Linked DNA regions of Lepisosteus oculatus. The protein of the gene in region 4 purifies or fractionates together with the protein of the main gene of each other region. This does not show direct contact. Links are inferred from orthologs where the notes say so. Each region holds a gene or a part of one and is shown on either strand. Other genes may lie near its edges.

What was found.
Region 1: the proteins of tnrc6c1 (region 4) and cnot10 purify together in Homo sapiens (co-immunoprecipitation; 3 studies listed by BioGRID and IntAct, with this or other methods). This does not show direct contact. The link is inferred for Lepisosteus oculatus from reciprocal best matches to the Homo sapiens genes TNRC6C and CNOT10.
Region 2: the proteins of tnrc6c1 (region 4) and cnot1 purify together in Homo sapiens (co-immunoprecipitation; 4 studies listed by BioGRID and IntAct, with this or other methods). This does not show direct contact. The link is inferred for Lepisosteus oculatus from reciprocal best matches to the Homo sapiens genes TNRC6C and CNOT1.
Region 3: the proteins of tnrc6c1 (region 4) and protein argonaute-3 purify together in Homo sapiens (affinity purification with mass spectrometry; 3 studies listed by BioGRID and IntAct, with this or other methods). This does not show direct contact. The link is inferred for Lepisosteus oculatus from reciprocal best matches to the Homo sapiens genes TNRC6C and AGO3.

The regions. Positions count from the first base shown.
Region 1 is NC_090705.1:42,669,289-42,676,991, forward strand, and holds the start of cnot10 (CCR4-NOT transcription complex subunit 10), read left to right. Parts: upstream 1-4,702; 5' UTR 4,703-4,970; coding exon 4,971-4,989; intron 4,990-5,809; coding exon 5,810-5,907; intron 5,908-6,438; coding exon 6,439-6,600; intron 6,601-6,681; coding exon 6,682-6,832; intron 6,833-7,703. UniProt on the Homo sapiens protein: Component of the CCR4-NOT complex which is one of the major cellular mRNA deadenylases and is linked to various cellular processes including bulk mRNA degradation, miRNA-mediated repression, translational repression during translational initiation and general transcription regulation.
Region 2 is NC_090715.1:4,432,259-4,439,180, forward strand, and holds the start of cnot1 (CCR4-NOT transcription complex subunit 1), read left to right. Parts: upstream 1-3,906; 5' UTR 3,907-4,489; intron 4,490-5,223; exon of another isoform or gene 5,224-5,410; intron 5,411-6,922. Other genes in the region: lysosomal protective protein, read right to left, coding at 236-388, 838-922, 1,171-1,262, 1,360-1,518, 1,890-2,027, 2,420-2,531, 3,476-3,639.
Region 3 is NC_090706.1:126,502-134,146, forward strand, and holds the start of protein argonaute-3, read right to left. Parts: upstream 3,014-7,645; 5' UTR 2,413-3,013; coding exon 2,394-2,412; intron 1-2,393. Other genes in the region: ago1 (protein argonaute-1), read right to left, coding at 7,223-7,331, 7,466-7,645.
Region 4 is NC_090704.1:44,664,901-44,672,488, forward strand, and holds the start of tnrc6c1 (trinucleotide repeat-containing gene 6C protein), read left to right. Parts: upstream 1-4,583; 5' UTR 4,584-4,794; coding exon 4,795-4,850; intron 4,851-7,588. UniProt on the Homo sapiens protein: Plays a role in RNA-mediated gene silencing by micro-RNAs (miRNAs). Required for miRNA-dependent translational repression of complementary mRNAs by argonaute family proteins.

The DNA.
Region 1 (7,703 bases), on a different chromosome or scaffold from region 4:
ACCTTCCTGAAGTTCCCCACCAACCTGGCCAGTGAAGCAGCTTCTCAGCCTCCACAGTGGGGTTGCCGACACAGTAACCCCTGACTCTCGCCACGGGGGGGCACTCTCACTCTCATTCTTGCCACCAGCCGAGCGTGACCGGCGCTGGCAGGGCTGGACGGGGATTGGCCGAGCAGTCGTCCCAGCGGACGGTAGCTCATGGGAGGGCTGCAGGCTGGCCGTGGCGTCAGTGGCAGATGTGCCTGTCCTCCAGTCAGTGCTGCACCTCCTGTCTGCTGGTGGGCCTGTCAGGGGAACGTGTCTGTGAGTCGCGGTGTCTCCCGAGAGACAGCTCTCAGAAAACAACAACTGGGGATTCCAAATAATAAAATAATAATAATAATAAAAAATAATCAGTGGTTCCAATTTTTCATTTAAAAAGATTCTTGCAAAAGTGTGACATTTATCATACTGTATGGAGTGAGCAAATTGCTGCTCGTCACTAGAATCTTTATACAGACTTTTCGAAAGGAAAACCGAACTGGCACAGCCTCTATTTTCAAGAGTTCTGTGAACATGCCATTAAAGCTACAGTACATTAGAATAAGTCATACTTTAACAGCTAATATAAAGTAACCTGGCTGATTGATGTAGCTTTTAACTATGGCAGCTCAAACCATAAAATATAAGTAATAAGGATAATCACAGTCTTCAACAAATTTTAAGCAGGGATTAAATAATTCAGTGCAAAAATTACAAGCAATGATTAAATAGGTTTTGGATTTTTACTGACAAATGGAACGATTGTCACGATTAAGGACGCTCCGGCTCTTTCTTGTTTCTCTTGATTTTTTTGCACCTGCCCCCTGTTCCAGCCCCTCCCTACAAAAGCCAGACGCTCCCACCATTCAAGGTTCAGCTCTGGGAGAGGCAAGCCCCTTGACGGGTCCGGGGCTTGGAGCGCTTGGCCCCGTTACCCCTTTACCCCTTTTTATTCCCCCGACCCTTCGCCGGATCCCGCTCCGGCTTTTAACTCCTGTCATGGATGGATGGATTACCCGGCTCTGGACTTTTGCTCACCCTGGATTTGGACTCGTTTGCCTTGGCCACGCCCCCCCCAGCACCAGTGCACCGCCGACACGCCCCCCTGTTCTTCTCCCAGCCCCGATCCCAGTCGTCTTTCCCGTGTTTGTTTCACTCCCTTCCGGATTCCGCCGTCTGCACGGGGTCCTGAAAAACGCTCCGTGACGGCGATTTCTACTCACAAAGTTAATGGATAAACAACCTATGCAGTATGCACCCCTCCCTTAAGAGGAAAATGGGGAAAAAATGAAATGTGTTAATTGCTCAGCTAAATTCAGTTCTCTGGCATTTTGTTCTGCTGTTTGCAACGCAACTTACAGAAGAAAAATCTGCTTTTCCACTTCTTGCACGGAAAATCCGACACTTACACAAAGCTGTAAACCTTTAAAAAGTCTGGAGATGGAATCCATCAGTAATAAGAAACAGAATCGCATTTTATGTGTTAATTGAATCCCTTGTTATCATCCACACAACACAAACATGCCAGAATGATGTTTTCTTGTATTTGTGCTGACGTTGTTAAAGACAAGTGGTTTGCTTTGCTAATAGAGCAACACTGAATACATTTAAGAAATCCGGGTATGGTACAGGTTTACCTTTGAATTTAGTAGCTCTGAACATTATAATGGTTACAAACGAGGGGAGTTCATTCAGCCCAATTAGATCATCTGGTGTTTAGGGTTCCTACTGTACTTTACAGAATGCATCACATCATTGCTCCTGAAAAATAACCAATGTTGCAAAATACTATTAATACATAAAATATTATGATTTTTATTTTGAGAAATTGAGTAATTGTTCTGTATCTTCCCAAATAACGTTATCTAGTAATACATTTTTTAAATCCGTAATAACTGTAACTTTGTGTTACTTAAAATGCATTCTCCTGAGAACATAACTATACCTGAACATGAAATAACAAACTTACCTTTAAGAATAACTATTATGTAAGGATATCACTTTTTCACACCTCCTGATGTCACTGTATTTTGCCAAAAAGGAAATGGTCTATCAAGTTAATATATACTGGGAAGCATTAAAAATGGAAGCAAAAGCATCTGTTGTATTTTTAATACCCATCAATTTAAAATCCCTAGACCACATCACACTTGAGTGTAGTCTGGAAGCCAGGCATCTGAATATCTATGTTATCTATGCTACCAAAAGCTATGAAGCAGCTGGAAAATGAAAAATACAGCCCATAAGACTAAAACAAAATCAAACAGCATAAAAAATCTGAAACACCAGCTATTAAATACTATTACATCTCTTCTAATATGTAAGTATTTTAAAAGTTAGTTCAGAAATAAATACTTTAAATTGTACAGTTTACATTTTTTATTCCCACACATACACATCTCATCTTCTGGTTAACAAAAATTACATAACAATCCTTGATTCTGGCCTGTTTCATCTTGTGCTGCCTCTCATCTTCCACTATCTACTGTTCAGTGATTGACATTTTCCCCCTGAAACTTGTCTTCTGCCTCCTGAAAGCACTGGAAATGTATTGCGTAGGAAATTCAGAATTTGCGTCAAAGCTTTCCCATCTGTGTAATGACACCCTGTTATTGATTGTGTGGTGCAGATCTGCTTCACAATGTCTGCAGCTGCACTGCTGCTTGGAGTGATTTAGATTTTACAGAGCTGGGATGTTCAGACTCTGCCATTTCTCCATTAGACAGGAGGCGATCAGATGTGTGAAGTATAATAAAGATAATATGTGACGCTGTCATAAAATTTAAGATGCTCTGCAGTACCACAGAGAGGTTTTTGCATTAAATCATAAAACAAAAGATTAAGGCCCTACTTAATGCTTTGTTTTTTATGGCCATAGCTTTTCAAGTTAATTTTTCATGCTTTTGTCCCAATTTGAATGACAAGTTTAGAAAAACTCACTATTACAGTAAACTGGGAGGGAATTACTGATTGAGGCCTACTTTTTCCTTCATGGTCCTTGCCAATAGAATTGACATCAGTTACTTAATTGAACTAATTGAGACCTTTTCACCTGCTCACTGCTCCTAAGTTTGCTGCCCTAATTTCCACATTTCTGTACATTTTTAGTTAATATTAATTGAAATATTTGAGTTAATTCTAACATCCCTTGCAGTTACAGAAAACACTCAAAACTGTTTAATTATTACATTATTTCTTAATTCTGAAATTTGATTTTATAATAAAGAGATGAGCTGGATAAAAGCCAGTGGACACGGGGGGTTCTAAGACCTGGTCTGAAGAATTCCTTTTAAAATCCACTTTGCCAGTTTGGGGAGATGAGAGGGGCTGATTGAGCCAATGGTCAAATACTGACATCCAATGGATAAAATAAAGTAATGCATTCTTATAACTGAATTATCTCTTCAGGAACTGCAACTCACGAGGAGCAGATCAATTCTTTGTTTTTGCTGCAAATGCTAAAATGCCCTCATCTTCTCCAGAAGGTACACCAAGTCTGACTAGGGTTTGATTTATCACACAACACCAAGCTTCATTGTGTTGCGATTTAACAATGTCCAGTGAGATCTTTAAATTAATATACAGTATAATATGTGCTTTTGTATACTACTTTATACAGTATGTATGTATACTACTTTATCTATACTCTGTATAGATACTTTTCATCTCATTAGTTCACATACGTTTAGGAGGAAAGTCAAGCTTTCATCAAGAGCTGGCACACTGCAGTAGCACTTCTGAGAAGAGCCCCCAGCTGCGATTTATTCAGACTCTGGATGAAAAACATGAGCCCTTTTTTAAGTCATTGCTGGTAGAATTCAGGGATTGATTATACAGGGACATTCGTATTGATACAACGTCTGGTATAGATGACTGAAATGAAGAGGCCGCTAACTGGGAGGTGCTGTTAGGCATGCACATTACTAGAAGAGGTACTACTCTGTTTTAGGGCTCCACGGTTTGTATTTGCATTGTTATTTTCAAAGACATTGATTTTTCTGTTTTTTTTAAATACATCATTAACATATTTTGTTGCCGATTTCAACAGCTCATTTTACGATGTTACAAAGGAAAAGCATACATTTACATTTTGAAACAGCTGTAATTGTCTGCATTTGTGGAACTAATTAAGAGACTCTGTTGATTAATCAGAGCACTATTTAGCTTGAGTGGCTGAGCCACATACAAATTGATTGTGTGACTAGTGTGGACTGAAGAAAAGTGTTCAGTTACTGCAGAGTGTCTAAGCACTATGTTAGGCTCTACAGTCCATTGAATAATCTGTGCATGTCATTTTGGAGTGCACACATACCAGTTTAACATTTTACGGTTTCTACTGGGGAAAAATAAACTGCACGGGCAGTTGGGTTATCTGATGACAGGAAAAAATGTACTGTGAAAAAATAAGAGTTTGGAGTGCTATTTTGTCTGCTGCATTGGCTGTTACAGGATGCATTTAACAAACACAATAATACATTCACATCCCCTTCAAAGACGTGCAAACCGAGGGGGAGTCAAGATCACAGTGTTTTCGTTATTCGATGCTTAATTGGCCTTTTAATTGGCTTTAAACCATTAGAAAGACTTTTCAGCGGCCTCCACGGCGACAGGCGTCGCTGTTGCGCTCCGCTGACAGACGAACCTGATGACGTAAATCTCTTGCGTCTGAGTGCGGGGGCGCTTGTGGGTAATTTTCATGGCGGACATCTGAGAGCGATTTGTGATTTGAAATTCCCTGACCGTAAAATCGCATCTCATTCCTCTTGAAGAAATTTTCTAAATGTATTTTGTGATTTAAAGGAAAGTGACATTTACAGTTTGCAAATTGGAACGCGTTTTGACTTGAAGACTTATAAGCGCTCTGAAGCTTTGAGACGGTTACATTCTCAGAACGTAATAAGAATCCGTAATAGACAGCTGTCTGCACACTGGGTAAATAAACCGAGGAAATGGCAGATAACACAACAGGTATATATATTACGACTTTGTATTAAAAGCAGCTTTTTGCTCTATCGATAATAAAATATTTAAATAACTTATGTTTAAAAGAACAGCTATTCTCTAGATGGGTAGATGTATAGTGACTTATGTGGAGTCAGTAATGAAGTGAAGCATATTTCTGTTAGTTTATGTTATGTATATCAATGTCTGTGGTCTTTTATTCAGGATATTCAGGATATACTCTGTGTGTACAGTTAACCCGCTTTTTATACTGGTTAACTTTTTATACCCGGGAAGCATCTCCGTTGGCACAGCTATGCTTTCAATTTCCTCAGATTTTAAAATGTCGCGTACAGCTGTGGAGATGACGGTGACGTTTGTGTCTTTCTCTCGTATCTGACTGCTCTGCGGTGGTCCCGCGCCGTCTAAAGTTTTTTTTTAAGAGTTTAGATTAATCCTATAATTATGTGAATTAAGTTTGCACTTATGCGAAGAGCTATTTAAGGGATATCTTAAACGACAACGAACAGATGTGCTGGTTCCTAAACTTAATCTTAAGCAAAGGGATAGGTACCGGCTCCTAGGCGACCTGTCTTGGAGAAAGCAGTTAGAAAATGTATGAAGGTCATGAACAGAAGTTTGTTCTTTGTACTGTGTTGCTGCTGTGGTGTTTGGTGAGAGAGAGCCCAGATGAAGTGCTGAAAACATTGAGAACATGATGGCCGTGTAGATTTGCTGGGAGGGGGGTTCCAGAACCATGGATAAAATTAAAGCTTATTTTTATTTAGCGGTGCATAATATTTTAAGTTAATCATAATTAACCCTTTTTGTCTTTTTTTTTGTATAGAGCAAGGCAATGAGGCAAAACACGAGAACAATTCAGCTTCTTCTGGGATCACAGATCGGGAAAAAGAACTCGCCGCCAGTGCTTTTCAAGCATTTTCGGTAATGTGTGGTATTTGACAGAACTGTGTAATTCGTAAAAGAAGGGCTTAGGAAAAACTATTAGAAACAAATCTTACATATTGCAGTGACTTTGATAAACGTTCAGTGCTCTTGCTCTCTTGATATATGTTTTAGATGTAACAGCATAATTTCACAGATTGTTACATGGATTTAGTTTTACATGCTGTATTGTGAAATTTTCCATAATTTGAAAACATAAACTGATGCTGAAGATATTAAGTGCATTGTGACTGAGCTGTAGGCACGGCCACCCCTGAGTGTGTTGTTTAAATGAGTTTGCAGTCATGTTTAATATGTTAACCTCCACTTGCTCCATGTTTAAACTATTTTCTGTGCTATACTGATACTGAGATGGCTTCATTATTGGCTGCCTTTTAGGTGTGAACATGTTCAGAGAGTTGTGTCACCTTTTCTGTAGATAAAATTAAAAGGTTTACAACGTTTTTTTATTTTTATCCGGCGCTGTTATTTGATTTCTGCTTGACGGTCAATTTTTGCTTTTTCTTTTAGTCTGGAAGTTATGATGAATGCGTGAAACACCTTGAGCACCTTCAAGAATGGAACAAGGATGACTACAAAATTGCCATGAACAAGGCCATTGCTGAATTTTACAAAAGTGGCCAAACTACTACTGACACTTTAAAGCAGGCACTTGCCACAATGAAAAATCAGGTAACCTGCTGAAAGGAAACCTCTCTTCAACAGACTTTCCTTTGCACCTAAATTAAATTAAAGCACCTTTGTTTGACCTAGGTTCATGCTGCAGTAGAAGAAATGGACGGTTTGGATGATGTGGAAAACAGCATTCTTTACTACAATCAAGCCATTGTCCTATACCACATGCGTCAGTACTCGGAAGCTATTGCAGTAGGAGAGAAACTTTATCAGTTTTTGGAACCGTTTGGTATGTGTCTCGGTCTTTTTCTAAATATGTGTATTTGTATGATATGAATATAACCTAGATTCAGAGGATGCAAATGGTTTTCATTTCACTTATAGTATTCTTCAGGTCTAATAGGAAAAGAGTACATAGAATGTTTGTTTATTTTTATAAGAGTAAAAAAGAAACTTCTCACTGTTTTAATGCATGCATAGTTTTGGAAAATACATTTTAGGTATAGATTATATATTCAAAATTAAGATTAATTTGAATGGGCTCATGTGATGAGTTAATTTAACCTCAGGATTGTCAAACCTAAAAGAAAAATATGGAAAGGAACCAATATACCTGCTAGCCTGTTAAGTTTCCAGTAGAAGTCAAGCTCAAGTTTATTTTCATATCTACCCGTGTACAATGAAATGCTTACTTGTGTGTTTTCCTCGCATGACAAATGGAATAACAGATGACATCACAATTCTTGGAGACGGGAACAGGAACAATAATTTTAACCAGCTTTTAGATAGGAGCTGTATGCAAAATTCAGCAATGGCAGTATTTTACTACTACTACTGGTGGCAGTCTCCCACTGACAAATATTAATCATCCTATGTCAATTGTATCAATAACTGTCAGTGCGTCTGCTTCAAAGTATATCTGGAATTGTCTTTTGCCGAATATTGACTGTAAACTGTTTGCAGTTGTAAGTGATAAATATTCTGTTGATTCTAGGTATATGCATAATTCTAATATAACCTATTAAACACATGTATAATATGGATAGAAATGGAGTGCATGTAGTTAAACTGTTGTCTTTGTAGACAGTACATGTTTAAGTTGATAAATATGTGTGCTGCTACAGGACTGCAACATTGTGATAGGTATCTTGACAATAAAA
Region 2 (6,922 bases), on a different chromosome or scaffold from region 4:
ACCAGGACTAGGAACCTGGTGCAACTATTATATTTGATCTTTTCTCTCCTAATGTATAAAAACCTACACTTGAGGACTTTTTGACACAGCAGACCTATAACATGCTTTAACTGTACTCATAGGTAGCTGTAATGTTCTTCTTCTCATATAACCTTTCTGCTTGAAGAACTCGGAAGCTAAACAGAGGTCATATAGACGCGCTGTTCCCCCAAATATGTGAAAGTTAGTTCCTTACCAAACTGGTATCCCAGTGCGGCCTGTAGTTCCGAAAGAGGTTCTGCATGTCCCTGTGATAACGTGCAGCTGTCCCCACACCGCCAGCGCAGTCCAGATACAGAGCATAATCGTTCAGCCCAGAATCATAGATAATATTAAATGCACGGCCCACCTGCCAAGAAGACAGAAGAAGCTGTTCAACTTTCATCCATCCGCTTCCAACCTCTTGGTCCGCAACATACAGTGGTCACGCTGAGCTGGAACCTAAGCTGGCAGACCATGGGGGCAAGGTGGGATACCCTGCGGTCAGGACACCAGTCCATTGCAGGGCATTCACACACCGGGGGGGGGTCACCATTTATGCTCCACACTGAAGGTACCCCAAACCAGAAATGAACCTAAGACCCCAAGAGTTGTGATGCGGCCTTTCCTTTCAGCAGAAACCTTAAAGCTAAAATAACACCAGCTCATTAAGAATGCGTTTTCTGCGCATCAAGAATCCAGACCTTTGTTTTAAATGGGGCAGATGTTGGAAAATTACACTTTTCTCTTCAGGTGTGCTTCATGCTTCCAATGCTGTATTATTATTCACGGACTATGGAAGAAACTGGGAGACAATACCGCCTGAATGCAGCCCGTGTCACTGCTGTTGTAGAAGTTACATGTCCCATCTTTGCAGCAGTTCCTGTTCAAGTCAGCCCACAGTCTACAGAAAGAAAGCAAACATACACACTTTACACAGAACATTAATCTAGATGTTGATGTCCTCTCCTTTGCTATGCCTGCATTCTGGTTGTGTGAGATTTTTTATTTGTTATGCAGTGGCTAGTACCAGTGACGAAGAGGATCTCTTTGTTGATTGCAGTGGCATGTGAAATTGAAAGGCTCCACCCACAATGCACAGCTGCGATGACCTCACTTCCTGAGCTCAATGATGAGAAAACTGATGCTTACTTTTCTCCAAACAGTCCATGGTAGTACGCAAAGTAGATAAGAGACTGGTAGTTGAGGTCAAAGCTGCTGATTCCATTGCCAACTGCAAATCCCTAGAATGAGGAAAAGAGCAGGAATAGGAAATAAGGAACTAGCTAGAAACTTGTTAGGAGAGCACCCTCCCCCAGAGGTCACATCGTTTGGCAATACCTTCAAATTGATCTTGGCAGAGCTGTTGGCAATCCTGAGGCTCAGGGTGGGTGCGTATATCCCTCCGTAGCTCTCGCCAAATACGTAGAAATCGTTCTTGGTGAAATTGGGAAATTTAGTAAAGAAACTCTGCAGGGCTTTGAAGTTGTTGTCAGCCACCTGTCAGAAGACACGAAGCAGGCAGCTGTGAGCAACAGACTCCATCCTGGAAGCACAGGGTGCACAGCAGGAATACAGTATATATATAAATGTGTACTCAGACACAATAACCAGCTACCCCAGCCAGCAAGTTTTTGAAAGGTGAGAGGAAACTGGAGCGCCCAGCGAAAATCCACACGAGCACAGAGAGAACATGTCCAGAAGTCCCCAGAATTCCCCTGTCCTGCATCGAACCTAGGACCCAGGAGCTAACCCCTGTCCAAGAGCCACAATAATCAGCATTTTGACTTTTACATCATGGACACCGAGAGGGTACTGTTGCGTTTTGGCATCAGGTTCTTTTTATTTACTTAAACTCGGGCTGCACTGACCTCATCGTCGTTGGTTCTGTAGTCCTTATCGTCTGAATAGGAGTAGCCCACACCAGCTGGAGACTCCAGATACAAGACATTGGCAGCTTTATTCCAGCTGTAATCGTTTAGGTACAGCGTGGCTCCGTCATCATTCACCTGCCAGAAAGGATGGGTAAATGAAGCTCAAATGGTAATGTAGAAGAGGAACTGATTTTTAGACCATGTGCTGCACAGGTATGAATTTACACCAGACAACTGTTGCTAGCAATATTGGCTGTTCGGCCAATTTCTACACTTCTCATTGTCTCCTTGCTTTTGTGACTTCTTTTCGTTTTCGGGTTGGATCTATGAAGGCCTGGAACAAAAACCTGGAAGGTGAATTTGTCTCCAAGCTAAATGAAATCTGGAACGACCACAGAACTCTAAGGAAAAAAAAGCGTCCCCTGCGATAATGATCAAGTGCAGAAGACGACCATGAGTTTTGCGGGCAGTTTTGAGCAAGTCTCAGAGGGAGAGCTCAACACTGAGGTAAAAAAAAAATTGCTCACGTGGAAAGGCCCATTCTCTGAGAGAAACCCGTCCAGGGAACTGCAGCCTGGACCACCATTCAACCACAGGACAAGAGGGTCTTTAGCTGGGTCTCCCTGGGATGTCACAAACCTGCAAGGCCAAAACAGGGAGAAAACAGCTATAATCAACACCTCCCTCTTCATTTTTTATCTGAGTGTTATTTTCAGAACTATACTACTACCACTCAGCAATAAAAATATTCACATATTGGGGTACATTTTCAATTTGCAAAGCTAAAAATATAGCGAGAAACAAAGGGGTCTTCACCTGTTGTCCCAGACAGCCCCAGTACATGTGCACACACCACGTTCACTCACGTTGTTTTTATTTAAGCATCAGAAATACAAATAACATATCCTTCATCCAAATCAGGTCAAACAAAATACAAAATAATATCAAAATCTCTCAATTTAACATTTACCTTTAAATGTTTAGCAATAACATTTTGCAAATCTATCCAAAACAATTTTGTGCATATGCATATTAACAAATGTAACAAAGATTCCTTCTCATTATTACAAAATGCACATAAGTCATCTCGCTCGTGTTCAAATCTAGAAAGTGTCAATTTAACAGGATAAAATCTATGAACAATCGTAAATGATATTTCTCTAACTTGATTTGTTAGAGATCAACTGCACTCGTTTCTGAAGATAGTGAACACCTATAAGTCACTGCTCGCCTAAGCACGTAATGAGCTAAATTTAAGTCCTAAAGGGATCATTTTATTTCAAACGATTTCTAAATTACCTGTTTTAACAAATCACCTGCAATTAAAATCACAAATCGGTCCAGGTATTTGGAAATTGGGGATTTCTCAGAGGACAAGGGGATATAACCAGAAAGGAGCCCTTGTTGGAGAGATTCGTGTTATAAATCCTTTCCGAAACTGAGCATCGTTACCTTTTCCGCTCTCGTCCGGTTCAAGAGAACTTTTCTCACCAACAAGTGAACTGACGAGGAAGTTAGAGTAGTGTTCACCGTACGTTGAAAAACGAAATATTGCATCTTCTGCTGTGCCGCGGCTGTCTTACCAGTAGTGCAGGTACTGCCCGGGGCTGGCTTTCAGGTACCCTGACCACTGCCTGAAGTTTGGGGTGAAGGACTGTCCGGGGAGATCGGTCACTTCATCTGGATCATAGACGGACTGAGCGGAGCAGCACAAGGCTGTTAAAACGACCAAGCTGCGGAAGAGCATGTCTATATTGCACTCACACACAGAGAGAGAGAGCTGGAGTGGTTTGGGGGGAATGAGAATCAAGTCTTTCTTTGGATGCAGTTCAATACTAATCAAATTGGTTGGCAGAAACTACCGGCTGTAGTCCTGGAGCTGAAGGGTCACATGACAACCCCCCCCCCAGATCTGTCACGAGTATTGAATCACGTGACTCGGATGACGCAAAAACTACGCGACATATTACGGCTCCTTATACCGGAAGCGAAAGTGACCAAGTAATTTCACAAAAAAACGGGGTATGGTTTGATCTTCAACACACACTCGTACATTTTGCTGCAGCAAAGACGTTTCGTGGGTTTGTCAAACTTCTGAGCGTTTGTGTTGCTAAAAAACATCAAAGCCAGGGAAAGAGGTTGGAACACCGTCCGATTTTTTATTGGATTACACGTCATTGTTCCGTTTGACAACTTCGGTATAGAAACAGATAAACTTGTATTAAGTTTGGTTTCTAGACTTCCTTACAAGGCACACGTTTTGTGCCACACAAGGCGCAAATTGCAGTTTTTCAATCAGTGAAAGCCTCTTTGTGCTTTGCGAGCTCATACACCAATAGGGAACCCTGCCCCATCTCTCTTCCACAATCATAGGCATCACTTTGATTAGGGAACAGGGAATCTCTGATTTAATTATTAAGTGCACTTCGCACCCTTCCATTAAGCCCCGCGTGGGTTATCAGATAACAGGTTCGTGGAGAAGATAAGATCAATGACCTGAGCGACGACTCTTCGGGATCCACTGTCCCAAACCCACCAGCAGATAGAGGACCCCTGAGTGTAACGAGGCTAACGGACTGGGGAAAGGTAATGCAGCTGTGAGTCCCAGTCGTGTCTAACACTCGATCAGAACGCGTTAAAAAAAACGTTAAATGCTTTTTTGTCTTCGTAAATGAACCTTTTAACTTGATAGGAATGCATGGGAATGGTCACCATCGCCCTTGTCAGCCCGGGCACACACGCTAGCAGTTCTCAGGCAAGGGGTGAGGCACAGACCGCGATAAAACGTCACATCGTGATGCCTTTGCTCTTTGGTTCAATGGCTCGGATCACTCACTAACTCGAGAGAAAACGACCATAAACGAACAGGATTCACTTTTTTTCCACCCTCGGCACGTGACCTCCCCGCGAGGCCTGGTGCCGCGGAGAGACGCTCGCGATTTTCAAAAACCCACACCGGCGGCGCGTGCCGCGTTCCGCTCACACCCGAATAAAAGTGCCGAAAATTAAAATCCGCCGTGATGTTGCTAGATGACCTGATGTCGACCGTACCATTATCCCGTGTCTTGGGGGGGGGGGGGACCGGCTGAGGCGCCGCAGCCTCTTTCTAGCCGGAGCGAATTAAGGAGTGGGGAGGGGGGGGTGGTCTGGTCTTAAAAAACATTTTTGGGGAGAGAATAAAAAATGTTTATGGGAAACCTATAATCTGGCGAGTTGTTTGCATGAATATTGATTTTTAACGTGCTGTATTTCGGCGCAGTTTTAATTATTTGTCTTCATTTGTGTAGTTTTTTTTGTTTCCGGAGTTGGTGTGTGTGGGGAGGGGGGAGGGGGGATGATGTTGCAGTGTCGCGAGCTCGATTTCAAGAAGATGGCGCTGTGAGCGCGCGCGAGATGTTGGTCGCCATTTTGTATTGAAAACCAAACCGAACTCGAGAGGGGGCAAACGTTATGTTATTATTTTTGTAACGACTCGGGGAGAGCAAAAATAAAGAAATGACCTTAGGAAAATAAGTGAGGTAAATATGATACCGTACCGGGGTGGGGAGGGGGATAATATACATTTTTGTATTTGTTTTTTTTTTCAGTGAAACGTGTTAGAGCGGAACGTAGGTTTGTCAAACTTCCAGTGTTATCATCAAGGTTTTTAAACCGACACCAAAGTTATCATTTTCTCGCACAGAATTAATATATTTAGATATTTTGTCGTTTTGTACATTTGAAACGATCTTGGGTTGAATACCCGAGCGGCACTTGTAGTGCGATATATTTTGTGCAAAACGAACGGGCTGAGTGAACTGTCTCATTTCACCATCCGTCTGCTAAAATCTTAGAGAAACAAAGGCTTTAAGAAGAGGTGGGGTCCTTTATAGTGTTATTTTCGCTATTTACATCTTTGACTTCACCAATGTCGCCTTTTTTAAAGACGAAGTTTCGAATTTTGTAAATCAGCTTAGGTCGGTCCTTTTGTGAGAAATAAACCCCTTGGTTAGCTATCATAATACAAGATCATATTACTGACGGTTCGGAATATTCTTTCACATTTTAGAGCTGTTTAAACAGCTTGGAACATTAAAAAAATCGTTATGTTTTGAAACATTGGCGACTGATTTTAGAAGCAGATGTATTTTAGCGTTATTGGTTGTAGCTCAGTGCTTGAAGTTCAGTTTGCAGATAGAACTAAGTTGGCCTTTTTACGAAACGGCTTTTTAATGTGTGAGCTATTCACGGTTTAAAAGTTCCTTTAGATGTCTCCCTAACTGGTTGGAAAGAAAGCAGTCCTCATTTTCCTGTTAATATACATCCACGAGTACAGTATGTGCAAGGGAAATAGGAGTACTTTAACGCCGAGTAGCTACTTGTAGGAGCAAGTGTGGTACATATTCGAGGTAGCTGAAAAGCTAGGCACAAAAAAAGCAACTGAAGTTTAAACTTTGCACTACCAAGTAAGTAGTCTGGAGGGGGTTAGCTGAGTTTTCCACTTCATTTATTTCTAACAGAGTCAATCTCTTGTTTCCCTTTTTTGGGGTGGCGGTGCTCTTAATTGGGGAAATTAGTCATTGAGGTTGAGGCTAGAAAACACGGAGCCGGTATTTTCTTGAAAAGAGAAAGCGTTTTAGGTTGGAACTGTTCTAAAGTTTCTTTCAGAGTATTTTTTAGGAGAGGTTCATCTTGGTGCGTGTTAGGTTACTATTTTTTTGACAACACCCTCCCTAACTAGCCGTGTTAAACTTCGGGGTTAGGGGCTGACCTCTTGCTAAAACGAAACCCTTTAGTGCTCGTAGTTCGTACCCTTAAACACAGTAACGGCAGCTGTTTTTAAATTGGGTTCGGTTGTTATTATTTTTGGCCACATTACTGGAATGTTGAGGAAAAATGTTTACACCTTTTCGGCTTGGAATGGTTTGTTGGGGGGTTAGGCCCCGGTTACTTATTGTAAGGTAATGTTTAACGGTCGTTGCATTTTACCAAGCAGTAGAAAAACGCATGAAAAGCACCTCATGTATTTTATACAAAAACATTCGTTAATG
Region 3 (7,645 bases), on a different chromosome or scaffold from region 4:
CTTCAGCAAATATTAAGATCACCAGCCAACCACAAATATAAAAACAAAAGTTCCAGTCAGATACAAAAACGTTTCACTGAACCAACCAGCACAGAGCTGTGAGGCAGTGTCAGGACAGCTCTGGCAATCCTCACCACTGCAGAGTAACCGGGGGCCAGAGGGCATATTCCCTCATGAGGGTCAGTGTGCTGGACAGCCGTGTCCAGGTGCCTGCAGGTCAGAGTGTGTGGACAAGGGCTGTGATCGAAGAGTAGGACAGGGACAGGTTCAGAGAAACAGCACCACGTCAGAGGACAGGACTGAGTCAAACCTGCACAGGCTAGAAGCAAGCTACTATCCTGCATGAGGTTACAATTACTGCTACCCTTAATGGCAACTCAAGCATTTCTTGTACAGCTTAAATCTTTCTATACTAATGACTAGAGACTACGCACCATTATTCTCACCCTGCTGCATCTGGGCTCATCACTGCCCTGAGACTACTGTTGGTACAACCACAGGCAGTGCTGGTTGGACAGAAAGTGACCTGTCAGAGTGATCCAACAGCAACTGGTTACTGAGCTCAGCCCCAGCAATGACTCACCCAGAAAGGCAAGTGACTCAGCACCTGATTCTCCAGCCCCACAACAGGCACCACACTGGGCCAGGAGATCACTGCCCAGCTCTCCAGCCCCACAACAGGCACCACACTGGGCCAGGAGATCACTGCCCAGCTCTCCAGCCCCACAACAGGCACCACACTGGGCCAGGAGATCACTGCCCAGCTCTCCAGCCCCTCAACAGGCACCACACTGGGCCAGGAGATCACTGCCCAGCTCTCCAGCCCCTCAACAGGCACCACACTGGGCCAGGAGATCACTGCCCAGCTCTCCAGCCCCACATCAGGCACCACACTGGGCCAGGAGATCACTGCCCAGCTCTCCAGCCCCACAACAGGCACCACACTGGGCCAGGAGATCACTGCCCAGCTCTCCAGCCCCTCAACAGGCACCACACTGGGCCAGGAGATCACTGCCCTGCTCTCCAGCCACTCAACAGGCACCACACTGGGCCAGGAGATCACTGCCCAGCTCTCCAGCCCCCCAAGATCTCCAGCAGGCCACCAGACGAATCGCTTCAGCCACAGCCTGAGTCCGTGTGACTGCAGAGAGTCAAGAGTCTCCTCTCCGACAGCAGCTTACCCCTGTGACAGCTCTCCACTGCTGGCCTCACGCCCACAGCAACCCAGGAGAGAGGTTCCCTGCACGTTCATGTAACAAACCGACAACCGAAACTGGAGCCAAGGCACAGCTGACAGAACCACCCAGACTCAGAGAGAGGTTCCAGGGACTGCGATCGCCGTCCCCAATGGGACAGCAAGCTGCTCAAGAGCATCTCAGGATGAGGCCCAGACCTATAGTCCAGCAGGAGTCACCCCAGCTACAGGCTCCCACACCACGGCAGGCAACAGCCACATCCACTCATGGCAGGAGCCACAGACTCTGGGCCACAGACAGGACACCCCAATCCCACTCTGCCCTGAGCCCTGAGCCCTGAGCCACAGACAGGACACCCCACTCCCACTCCTGACAGCCCAGCGCTGCCCTGAGCCACAGACAGGACACCCCACTCCCACTCTGGCCCTGAGCCCTGAGCCACAGACAAGACACCCCACTCCCACTCCCGACAGCCCAGCGCTGCCCTGAGCCACAGACAGGACACCCCACTCCCATTCCCACTCCCACTCCCACTCCTGACAGCCCAGCGCTGCCCTGAGCCACAGACAGGACACCCCACTCCCACTCACACTCCCGACAGCCCAGCGCTGCCCTGAGCCACAGACAGGACACCCCACTCCCATTCCCACTCCCACTCCTGACAGCCCAGCGCTGCCCTGAGCCACAGACAGAACACCCCACTCCCATTCCCACTCCTGACAGCCCAGCGCTGCCCTGAGCCACAGACAGGACACCCCACTCCCATTCCCACTCCTGACAGCCCAGCGCTGCCCTGAGCCACAGACAGTACACCCCACTCCCACTCCCACTCCTGACAGCCCAGCGCTGCCCTGAGCCACAGACAGGACACCCCACTCCCACTCCCACTCCCACTCCTGACAGCCCAGCGCTGCCCTGAGCCACAGACAGGACACTCCACTTCCACTCCTGACAGAACCAGCGCTGCCCTGAGCCAGAGACAGTACACCCCACTCCCGGCTCAGCCCGGTTCTGATCCAAACTCCCCCCCCCCCGACGGGAGCCCGAGAAACAGAGAACAGGACCGCACCGCCCCGCCGCTCAGGCACACCTTGAGGGGACACCTGTCCGTGACAGTGGGCGGGCAGGTCAGCACGGCTCCGCTGCAGCCACGCCACACTCCCACGGCGCCCTACCTACACTCGGTGGCACAGTTACCTGTAGTTCCGATTTCCATTCATGAGGTCTCTGTCCGGTTCCTCGCCGGCTCCTAAATGTCAGGTCCAGGGTCTGAGCTCCAACAGCTCGGTTCCGCTCGGTCCTGTCCGGCCCGGCCCGATCCGCGCTGGTGAGGCCGAGTCCTCCGCGGAGACTCTCCGCCCGGAACACGGGCCCGCTCCCCCGCGGCTCGGTCCGCTGATGGCGGCTTCTTCGCGGCCGGGGACCCCTGCGCCGGCCGCTGTGGACGGGCTCTGCGCCGCTGCTCGCCCGGGGCCCTGCCCTCGGGTCCCGCTGGGTCTCCGCGGCTCCGCCGGGCAGGAGGAGGTCTCCTCGGGGTATTTACCTCTCTCACGTCCCCGACGGGCGGCTCGATTGTCTCCCCGATATTCCGTCGGCGTCTGAGCCGAAAGGCGCAGTTTCTCCCGGCTCCGCGTCCGCACTACCCCCGCCGACAGAGCCCGGCTGCCCCGCCGGTGTTTCCCTGCCCCTGCGGCCGCAGTAGCCCTGCTCCTCACCCGGCAGACCGAGGCGTCGCTCCCCGACGTGCTGCTGGTCCGCTGCCCGGTCTCAGTGATCCTCGCTCGGGGAAATCCTGACAGGAAATACCGTCTCTCTCACTAACTGCAGGAAACACCGTCACTTCCGAGCAAACCATATTATTCATGAGCCGAGGTCTGCATTATTCATGAGAGGTATTAATAATGCACACCCGTGTTCCCCGGCTCCCCACACGGTGTTCCTGCCGGAGCCTGCAGGGGGAGCTCGCCTGCCGTCCGCTGAGCTCAGGGCCGCTGTTAACCCCTCCTGCCCCCGGACACCGGTCTGAAGGGTCGCTCCTGCCCCCGGACACCGGTCTGAAGGGTCGGTCCTGCCCCTGGACACTGGTCTGAGGGGTCGCTCCTGCCCCTGGATGCTGGTCTGAAGGGTCGCTCCTGCCCCCGGACACTGGTCTGAGGGGCCGCTCCTGCCCCTGGACACTGGTCTGATGGGCCGCTCCTGCCCCTGGAGTGTGTCTGAGGGGTCGCTCCTGCCCCTGGATGCTGGTCTGAGGGGTCGCTCCTGCCCCTGGACACTGGTCTGAAGGGTCGCTCCTGCCCCTGGACGCTGGTCTGAGGGGCCGCTCCTGCCCCTGGACACTGGTCTGAGGGGCTGCTCGTGCCCCTGGACGCTGGTCTGAGGGGCTGCTCCTGCCCCTGGACGCTGGTCTGAGAGGTCGCTCCTGCCCCTGGATGCTGGTCTGAGGGGCTGCTCCTGCCCCTGGACACTGGTCTGAGGGGCCGCTCCTGCCCCTGGAGTGTGTCTGCCCACCGGCCAGCTCTGGTGCTGTTTTTACTGCACTGTCTCTCCTGGCTGAGACCCCCTGTTTTCATGACTGTACTGTCCTGGATCGACTGCAAGGACACAGGGACTTGTTTTTTTTACCACAATCAATTCATTTATGTTGTCAGCGCCACAGGAAAAAGTCAAATAACCGATAGAGCTCCGCTAGAATCTGTTTCGCTGTGTCTTTATTAACGTCTCTAGGACCTTCTGTAGTTGTGCCAGTTGAGATCAACAGGCTTTGAATTCTAAATTGTGCATGTTTTAGTTCATCATCATCCCTAAATATGCTTTTAATAGCATAGGTATTTTGAATTGATTTCCTGCCTTTTGAAAATTTGTTCTGTTAATAATTTATTCCAATTAGAAGTATTACTTTATCCTTCTTACCAGAGTCGCAGGGGAGCCAGTCTATCCCAGCAAGCACTGGGCACAGGGCAGGACACACCCTGGATGGGACACCAGTCCACCCATGGCAGTAACACACACTTACCAGGGCCAGCCCATCACAGGACACTCACAGACACACACACACCAGGGCCAGCCCATCACAGGACACACACACACACACACACACACACACACACCAGGGACAGTTTTCCATGTCTCCCACAGGAATGTAGGAGGAAACCCTCATGTACCCAGTGAGAACATGCAAACTCCACACAGACAGCACCCTGGGTCTGCCCTGCGCAGTTTATTTGATTTACTCTTTCCTTTTCCAAGCAGGCCTGATGGATGTGTCCACACTGCCCCTTCAATAGGTGGTGCAATAACATAAGACCCTTTTTCTACACTCAACTATAGAGAGTGTCCAGAGGGGACAACCACGCTGGCATCAAGCTTCAGGTCAAAACAATGTTAAAACAATTTTATACTAGTCCATATAATTAAGCAGGTATATAAAAAGGTGTTTCAGAATGCACTTGGTCATTTGCTACTTGTCTAGTCAAGAGTCATGGTAATGGACACCCAGTGCTCAGACGCAAACCAGTGTGGAGGAGTCCGCCTGGCCCACAGGAGACACGCCTGCCACCACTGTGCTTCATAGTCCACTATTCTGAAGCAGTTCGGCCAGTTAATACAGCGATTACCAACAAGTTATTTTTATCAGCTTTGTTTAGGTTAGAACTGTGTAAAATAATGAAAACTATAGCCAAAACTACATTGTATTAATCTGGAAATGAAGCAGCCGTCACAATCAGAAGCCCCAGGAATTTTGGAGCTTTCACCCTCTCCCCTCTCTAGGGCAGCGTCTGCACCAGTGAGGGATGCCCCTAATGCCCCTCAACCACAGAGCTACCTGGCAGAAACCCCGTGTGGGTGGACAGTGACAGTGCCCATCTGCTACTGTGTGCGCCAGTTAATAATAAACATGAAAAACAATACCTTGCACTCGTATAGAGCTTTTCAGCACGAGGCCCTCCACAGCCTTGGCCTTGGGTTCAAACACAGATGAACTCACGGCCCAGAAAAGGCCTGATATCACTCCCTTTAAACTAAGTGATCACAGTCTTTCAGGATGCATAAAAAATAAAAGCTGAAGTGTCTAAAAATAATGCTAAAGAAAAATTATACAAACACAAGCATAATAAAAACACACATTTTATTCAAAAAATAACCAGAACATTTCACACTATTTAATACTGACCCATGAGAACTAGTTTCCATATTCCCTATCGGTTCTGTTCGGAAGTGCTATATCTGGACTACAGTCCGCAGTGGCATATTGCTGATTCAGCCTGGACTCTGCGCTCGCACACATCCTGGCACCGGTCTGCGACACGGCTCTCGTCTCTCCCCTTCGGCCACTCCCCCATCCCGCACTGACCCCGAGCAGCTGGGGCCCGAGCTGAGGGAGCAGCGAAAGAGATGTCCAAGCTGTGGGCGAAGGAGTGCACAGTGCATCTCTGCATCTCTGCATAGCTGGGTAAGAGGTCAGGGGCTCCCCCGGAGGAGACCAGGTGATACTGCAGGCAGGGCGTCTGTCGCTATTCACCGATGTTCAAACTGAGCAAATTATGCCGTCAGACTAAGAACCACATCTGTGCATTCTGAGAAGTTTTGACAATATTTTAAATCTAAACATAGGCAGGCAGGGTCCTATATTTCATTATTTACATAGTAATTGATGCTACTGAACAAAAAAAAGCACCTGGGGCTTCAGTGAGACACAGGGACCAGTAACAGGGATGGAATTTGTCAAAACCGCTTGGAAAACACGAGTCCTTGTCTGAGGGTCTATACTGGGCCCAGAACACTGTAATTATGAGTCAAGCTGCCCTGGGTCAACATCGTGCACTGCAGCACACCTCCAGCTGCTGGACAACAGACGATGCTCCCTCTCTCTCTAGGGGGCAGCTGCAGCCAAGAGCAACAGCCTGGCTCTCTCTGCCCCCTGCGGGGCGCAATAGAGCTGCCGCGGAGAGGAGAGACTGTCGCTGTGCCAGGGGTCTGGCAGGGCACGCAGAGAGCCCTCGACAGGCGAGACCAGCGTGCGAGGAAGAACAGAGGAGTGTGCGCCGTCAGCGTTGTTGTAACCCGTGTGCCCTGTGGACATGCATAGAAGTGTTGCTCAGCTGTCTTCAGAAGCCAAGCTGCTGCTCGAGAGGACGCTGCCGCGTGGCCTGCGTCTGTGTACAGTCCCACAGCCACCGTGCTCCCGGCTGGTGAATCGCTGCACAAAGCTGAGTGACGACAGAGAAGGAGACTGTGAACGTGGACAGATGAAATGATGGACTTGCTGAAGATGCAGGCCCTGCGAGGTCTTGAACCCACAGCTCAGTTCACATTGGGCTTTCCTCCACAGCTCCACAGAGCTAGCGAGCACACATAGCTCATCCAGGTCTCTGCTGACCTCTCCCTCCTGTGCAGACCGGTTTGTTTGCTCCGGAGCAGCAGGGACAGGCAAATCAGAGGGAGAGTCAGGAGTCCCAGCACCCCAGGTGGGCCCTGGCACCAGTGTGTCCATACGGGCAGCTGCTTCTCCTCGTCCCAGCACTGTGGTAAGGCACTCTCCAATCGACAGCACGCTGACCTACGGCCCTCCCTCCTCTCCCTGCGAACACACAGCCTAGCAGGCCTAAGACAAGCAAGTGCTATTGTACCTTACCTTGGGTAAAAATAAACATTTTAAAACAATAACAAAAGGATAAAAACATAAGGAAAGTTTTTTTCAGTAAAAAAAACTTCCTCAACACGTTGCAGATCTAACTCTACGGGCTGTCTGTGGGAGGCGAGTCCACAGACAGAGGCAGCATGTGTGGGCAGTCAAGGACCTCAGCTCCTTTCCTCAGTATTGCATACATACTCGGAAGTGTAAATATATATACTTCTATATATAATATATATAAAAAAAATAAAATCCCGGAGTCTTAGAAACAGTTTCCTGGTGAGTGCGGAGCCACGTCCAGCTGCTCGCAGCAGTCTGTGCTTCAGGAGGACGGCCCTGGGTTCGGGCCGCTCTGGCTCAGTGAGGTCCGTGAGGTGTGCTGGGAGGGCGCGGCTCAGGCGAAGTACATGGTCCGTAGGGTGTCCTGGTGAACCTGCACGGCTTTGGCCAGGGCCTGGGGGTCCCGACCGTTACTCTGGCCGGAGATGTGGCTTCCCTCCCCACTGCAAGAGAAAGGCAGACCCTGGATCACTGGAGGGCAGAGCACCGCCGAGACAACGGCCTCCAGCTCACTGGAGAGCAGAGCACCATGGCGAGAACGACACCATCACAACGTGCCGGGCTGCTCCCCCCTCACCTGTCGTGCTCCTTGTCCACCAGGTGGTAGCGGGCGCGGAACGCCACCAGCCGCGCGTAGTAGGCGGGCGCAGGGATGGAGACGGAGCGCGTGCAGCGCACATAGGTGTGGCACAGCTGGTAGGTGAGAATCTGCAGTTCATCCGCCGTGAAGCGATTATCGTCCCAGAGGACGTAGTAG
Region 4 (7,588 bases):
GGTACAATTTAAATACCAGTCAAATGCAATCATACTAAGAAAATGCAATGCCAGTGCTGTGTCAAGGATGTTTAAACAATCTCTAGTCTTTCACTTTGATGGTAGGAATCAGACCAGTCCCAGCAATCTGTAATTTTTGTTTCTGGTCTTCCCATGTTCAGTATTGTATGGTTTAAGAATGACGTCTGTAATATTTGTTTGGAAGAACAGGTCTTTCCTTCTGTCCCAGTTTGAGTGGTGCTACCACAGCATCAGACTTCATTCAGAAAGATGCTGGTTTCTCTGCCTCCACAGCTTGCCTTGGTAATCTGTTCCATTAGGCGATACGATTGGAGTTTTTTGGTATTGGGGCACAATCGGCCATAACAAATTTCCCTTTGTGTTTTCCGTTTTTTGGCGTTGTGTTGACACAACTGTCCATATCGGTAGAGCTTTCACCTGTTGTGGTTCCTCAGCCATCTTAACTGTGGCTGAGAAGCGAGAGAGGAGAGAGTTTGGACGATCACACTCATGCCTGCTATAGTCTTTGGATATGTGGCAGGAGGGATGGTTTTTAAAAAGACCTGTCACCTTATTTGGCTGTTTTAGAAATCATTATGAGATGGGACCAGATCAATACAAAAATCTCTTGCCATGTGCTTGTAAGGTGCAATCTTTGGATATTTCTTGTTGTGAAATGCTTAATTATACTATATGGCATGGTTATTAGGATATTTATATCTATGAAAACGGAAGCAGACATGGCGTTTGAATCCACTCCCTTTCTGAAAACTGAGCACGTAACCCTGACTGTGATGGATGATAGAGTCTAAATCAAATAAAAAGGAGTACTGTTTGAATTAAGTAAATTCCTAACCCATTAATACTGATGTCGATGAACATCAACTTTTGTGATACGGTAAAGTTGATTCCATCAAATGGTTTGCGGTTTTATTCCCAGAGCCCGGCATTGTGCTTAACAATGTATTCATCTCTTGCCTCCTATATCCCAGTGCCGTTTTTCTGAAAAGCTGTTTTAAGAACAGGTTGTATTTGCCTCATGGTTTCAGGCTCCCTAGGCGTCCCTGCACACAAATATCAGGTGACAGCTGTACGCCCTTTGTCTTTTCACACAGTGGACACATTTAGCCATGCAGACTAATTTGATTTGCGGAGAGCCAAGGGTGAGTGGAATCCAGGTGTTGGAGACACTCTGACCCATGTGTAACCAGGCAGACAAAACATCCAAGGACGCAGAAAGGCATGTGGAGGGGTAAAGGAAAGGCTGAAGCAGGCCGGGTTGTTCGTAGTTACAGGGTGTTCGTCTGTCTTTGTGTGTTTTGTCTCTGGAAGATAAAGCACTTGAACACATTTCCGTGTTGAAAGGATCACAGGTTATTAAGGGGAAGAACAGGGCATCAAGTTCGTACTTTGAGAACAGCTTAACTTTATGAGTTTTATCGGTGCTTCTGAAAATAGACAAAAAAAATCCCACGGTGGGGATTGTACAGTACCCTGGCTGAGGAAAATGGCGCCTGCGTTATTATGGGCCTGGACAACACAGGGCACCTATTTGGACAGCTGGTGAGAGTGAGATCTGGCTTGATCATTAAATCTCTCACCTGGGTCCGATGGAGGAGTTGACTGTTTCGGGATGTACCCAGTGAGCGAGTTGCTCCAGGAGTGTGAATCAGATGATAAGCCAGCAGCCAAATCACCCTGCAACTCACCACTGGCAGCCCACTGGAGCTCAGCAGGTGTGAGCCTGGTCAGTACCTGGATGGGAGACCTCCTGGGAAAAACTAAGGTTGCTGCTGGAAGAGGTGTTAGTGGGGCCAGCAGGGGGCGCTCACCCTGCGGTCCGTGTGGGTCCTAATGCCCCAGTAGAGTGACAGGGACACTATACTGTAAACAGGCGCCGTCCTTCGGATGAGACGTAAAACCGAGGTCCTGACTCTCTGTAGTCATTAAAAATCCCAGGGTGTTTCTTGAAAAGAGTACCGGCATCCTGGCCAAATTTCCCATTGGCCCTTACCAATCATGGCCTCCTAATAATCCCCATCTATTGGGTTCATCACTCTGCTCTCCTCCCCACTAATAGCTGATGTGTGGTGAGCGTTCTGGCACACTATGGCTGCCGTTGCATCATCCAGGTGGGGCTGCACACTGGGGGTGGTGGAGGGGATCCCCATGACCTGTAAAGTGCTTTGAGTGGAGTGTCCAGAAAAGTGCTATATAAGTGTAAGCAATTATTATTATTATTATTATTATTATTATTATTATTATTATTATTATTATAAGTGACCTGGAAGCGGCAGGTCTAGAAAACAGTAGCAGTAGGGGGAGACGGTTTCTCAGTAGGTTCATTGGGCTTGGCGCTGCCATGTGAGACGCAGACACACAGATAACACTCCTGGTTGTTGGGGAGGGTTTGGGAAACTTAGTGTTCGGGTGGGGGTGGGGGTGGGGGCCCTCCCTTACATTATTCTTACTTTACATGGGCTTATTTGGAATGGTGAGATAATGGGGACACTCCCAAGTAAAACCTCAAAAGAAGCTGCCAGATGACTTACCTTCCGTAACTTCCTCACTTTCTAGTGATGTAATGTTGAACTCCAGACTGTGCCAAATTTGATCTCGCTTCCCTGGAAACGAAACGGATTTCTTAAAGTGAAATACGGAAACCATGCTCTGTTCTTGGTTTAAATGTGCAGTGATTGCTTTCTTTAGAAAAGAAGCACAGCGTTCGATATCTTGGAAAGGTGAACCATAAGAGTTTCTTCTCCATAATGGGATGTTCAGCCAGTCTGTTGTTCTTTTTATTGTTATTGTTACCTGATTTGTTGGTACTATTCCAAGCTAGTTAACTGCAGAAACATTTTTTTCACTTGATTCCATGTATTTGTTTCTGGTTGGTCTAGATCAGGGGTGTCCAGTCCTGGAGAGTCGGTGTGCCTGCAGCTTCACATTCCGACTCGCCTCTTAATGAGCTAAACCAGCTGGTTTCTGGCTGAACTGGACCGATTTTACAGCTCCTCCCAGCTCTTCAGGTGCTGCTGCTTTACAGACACCCAGCAATTCTGCTGACACACTGACCCTTTTGGACCACGATTGGATTTCTTTGCATCAGAATGGTGTGAAGCCATTAGGGTTTAAATTTCCTTCCTACAATGTGCAGACCTCCATCTGCTGGATCCTGGCTTTGTCCGAATATGTCAGCGGTCTGTCTTTTCAGTTTGTCCAGCATGTCGCAGGCTGGACGCTTAGTGAAAGGCTATCTTTAAGCAGGAGCTGGCTGCAGGGGCGTGTTTAAAGAACGTATCTCACTCCAGTTTGAATTTTGCAAATTTTGCAAATTTTCACATTTAAGTAAGAAAAAAAGTCTTTTTTTTCCCTTTAACGTTATACGTGATGGTTTACAAAATGTGTCTCGGTGTCCTTTTTTTCAGCAGTCATTCTCCACCCCTCTACACACACACGGACACCGAGGCAGGCAAAACTGTGGTTTATGCGTTTGTTGAACCCTGGGAAGCTGCACTGATTCTTTCTCTCTACGAAGTTTTTCATATGACTGTGTTCCTGTGACATTGTTCTAACCTGCCCTCCCAGTTCTGACTGGAGGGTTCAAGAGACACTTTCACTTTCCTGCTGCACTTGTGTGTGCCCATCCTGCAGTCTGTGTCTAGCTCAGTGTGGTGCGAAAAATAATAATCGGTTTAAATAGCAGCAGGGGTGGGCTTCCTTCAGTCGTGTGCATTATAAATAGCACTGGTTGCACATGGTTTTGAACATCGTCGGAGAGTTTTTTTTTCTCCTGCATTTTTCAAATCTAGGCACGCACACGGAGAGATGAATGCTTTTCCAGTGCTTTACCCGACACTAAACCGTTCCAGTCACTCAGCATTTTTTCAAAGGCTTTGTTCTGGCTTTAAAAGAGAAACCTCTCTTTTCTTATTTGCTCTGCTTTATCTCTTGACAGGCATCAGTACTGTCAGCTATTTTGATTGACACCTCCCCGTGTTTAAAGCCTGCTTTACATATGGCTTATAGACAGCTTCTGTTTCAATCATTGTAATTAGAGCCTGTTTTATCATATTTAATATTTTTCTTTGGTATTGTTATCTCAGAATACTTTTATTTCTGCATTTGTTTGTGTAATTCATGCATGCATTTCTTATTAGTGAACAAATCCATTTAAGTGAAATAATGATCTGTGTTTCATGCAGGGACTGTGCTGGAATATTTGGTGAATATGTAAGCAATTCTTTTAGTCTAGAATGGAAGAAGATGAAACTATAGTTTTGATACTGTTCACTGTTGTCAAGCGGGTTAGCAGATGAAGTTAATGAATTTCCTGTGCTGAGATTTATAAATCGAAAGCTTTACGTTTTTTTCTATGGCATTTTTAACTTTTAAAAAGCAAGTCAAAGCTTCTGGATTTGGTAAGTAGATTGGCAGGTGTGTGTTTCTGTTCACATTGGTACAACAACATGAGATTTCTTTATGACATTTAAAGATGCACAAAGCTATCCAGAGGTAATCCTGTAGAAAATAACTATTAGATAAATAATGAAGTCAGATGTGTACATATTGTATTAGATCGGATGAAGGCTGTCGCTGAAAGGTGAAGCCTTTATTTGAAAATTGAAACACTTTTCTAAAAATCTGCCTCATTTGTAGTGGTATGAAATGGTCATACATTTTCAAAGAGTTTATTGGTGGCAAGATGCGCTTGTTTTAGGAATGCAAAAGCTGTTGTAAACACCCCGAAATCTATCCAGTCTGCCCTGGAATGTGACTTTATCACGGATCACAATGATTTCCTTTCAGGTACCTAAACGGAGCGGTGGGACACATGCCTCTGTCCGTTGGTAAGGGGGTGACTTAACTACAAAATGGGTCTTCTGCCTTCGTGGGCATTCCAGCTCTACTTGGCTTTTCCCCTTGCAGTCCCTTGAGAAGCCCTATTGCTTCTGTTAATTGCTGGAGATTTGAAGCGGTTTACTGTATGGGTGCTTCTAGGGTGGGGGCGAGCTTGTTTTTGTGTGACTAGTGGGTGCCTTGTGGTATTAACCCCAGTGTTGCTCCTGGGCTCAGTCCCGGGACTGGGATGTGTCTTTTGCAAGGACCTCTGTTTGCAGATCTTTGGATTCTCAAGCGTTGGAGGGCAATGAGGCTAGAGGAAGTCATGGTTTTTGAGGACTCATTGAGGTGTGGTAGCCCCAGCCCCCCCCCCCCTTCAGACTTTCTTGTCCTTAATCCTTTTGTCTAATTCCTCAACTGTGGAGATCACTGAGGTTTGTGGTTGGCTGTACTGGCAAAGGAGCCTGTGCAGGTTGAGCTCTTGTGATCTAGGCATCCTCACCTGTGTGCACCGAGCGGTGCTGATGACCGGCTTGGGGTGAGTTCGCTGGGCTGTCGTGGGCCCCCAGCGACGCGGCGACTTCCCTGGATACCCGCGTGCCTGCTGTCCCGACACGCCAGTCGGGAGTGCATGTCTGCGATGCCGAGCCTCCTGAACACGGGAGAGGCTGCGGCCGGCTCCGTCTGCTCTTCCTCACCCGCGGTCCCGGGGCTTGTAGCCTTGAGCCGGGATACGAAACTACTCTGGACTTGCCAAGTGTGAGAAAGTAATTGAAAACCGGAAACCAAATAAAAAAAAACAAAAACAAAAAGCTTGCATATTGTGGGCCCTACCTTTAGAGCGAGCAGGAAAACTCTAGGCTGGGGTGTCTCTGGGTTAGAGGGATGTGTGTCGGGGCTGCAGTGCAGTAGTTAAGCGTCTCTTTGGATGTTGTTGGACTGGGTTGTACAGGATGAACACTGCGTTTTGGTCCAGGAGGTAAACCTTTGCCACTCAGAAACCTGATTCTTGGTCAGTCGCGTTTTAAGTGTGGTGCTTTTCCCCCCATGGTAAAGGCAGTTTCTGTGGTTATATATAATTTCATTTAAATCTGTCCTTTCATTGAGTAATTTCCCTTTCTTGCACTGACTTGTTTTATACAGTTCTTACTAAGCAGCTGGCATTACGTGATAGTTGTACCTCATTTTCCAAAGAAAGAAAACTTGTGACCAGATGGATGATTTTGAGGCCACATAGTCAAACCCTCACACTTTCTTCACAACGGAAATTGATTTTATAGACATGCTAGTACATTAACATTCCATTTCCCTTCCAGAAGTCCTTATTGTTTGCTCATTTCTTATTTATTCTTGGCATAATCTTAACTGTTGTGTCTACAGAAATCCTGTAGTGCAGATATGACTGTACCCAAGTTAAAGACATCTGCTACCTATATGCGAAAGTGTTTTGTTTTTGCAGGCTAACGAATACATGGGCTACACTTGGAGGAAATGAAAATCTTAGCTGGGTGATTTAGAAATGAGTCATGAGTTCTGTTTTTAGAGCTATTGAGACTTTCAAAGTGAAGTATTTGAAAAAATTAGTTTGTCATGAGGTGGTAAAATCATAGTTAGAGCAGAGGGGGTACAGTTTTACATCTGCCAGAACGAACCACATCACACGGAGAAGGGGGTTAAGTATTTCTGAACCATCAAATTAGAGACCGTAATGCAGGATTTCTACATCTTCCCCCAACCCCCCCCTTCTGTTTTGCAGCGACATCTGTTTTTTTTTTAAGCTTTCTTGATCCGTTTGGTCTTTCCTCGGATGTTCCGGGTTCAAGCGTCGGGTTGCGGGATTGCCGGATTAAGTCCCATTCGGGAAAGCTTGGAAAGCTGCGACTTCCTCAAGCGAGAGTCGCGGCAGGCAGGCAGGCAGGCAGGAGAGAGAGAGAGGCCGTGGCCGCCGTGTCCGGCCGCAGGTCTCCTCCCGGCCCTGCGGCTGGTGCTGGCCGGAGGGCCCTGTGGGAACGCGCACCTCTGTCTTGCAGCGCCGACATTCTTGGCCTTCAGCCCGGAGCGTCGGGCTCCGCTCGCCTCCCTCCGGTTTCTCCTTCTCCCCCCCTCCCTCTGCGTCTCTCTTCTGGCCGAGGCGCGCAGGAGCACGGACCCGTGCCTGGTGGCTGGAGATGGAAAGGGCTCTTCCTGAGCAGCCGTCTGCCCCCCCCCCCCCGCTCACGTTCGCCCCTCTGCATTTCCTGCCCTGCTCCTCTGCTCTTCTTGCCTTCTGCCTCCTCCCCCCCCCCCGGCGAGCGGGTCGCGTCTGGGCTCCTGCGTTGTGCCGTCAGCCCGGACTTACTGTGTTTTTAAATAGTTTTGGGGGCAAACTTTCTTCTTTTTTTTCCACTCCAGCGGCTGGGGGACGGCTGACCTCCAAAAAACAAACAAACAAACAAACAAACAAACAACGTATGTTCCCCCGGCTCACGTTGAAGTATCGCTGCCAAGTGAGCTGATGGCGTCTTAAGACCCGTTTTGTTAAGACCCCTCGTGGGTCATCTGGCACTTACAGGTCTACTGTAGCTGTGTGCTGCTGTAGCCTTCATGTTATTCAGCTGAGCCCTGTTGAGTAATACTGGATAATAAAAACCAGGAGACCTCCGTGCCCTTGAGTGCTCGCTGGCCTTGTTTTGATTGGACGCTGCAGAAGCTCAAGATCTGGCTGCCGTTATCTTGCCACAAATAAAGAAATGGAACATTTTTCCAT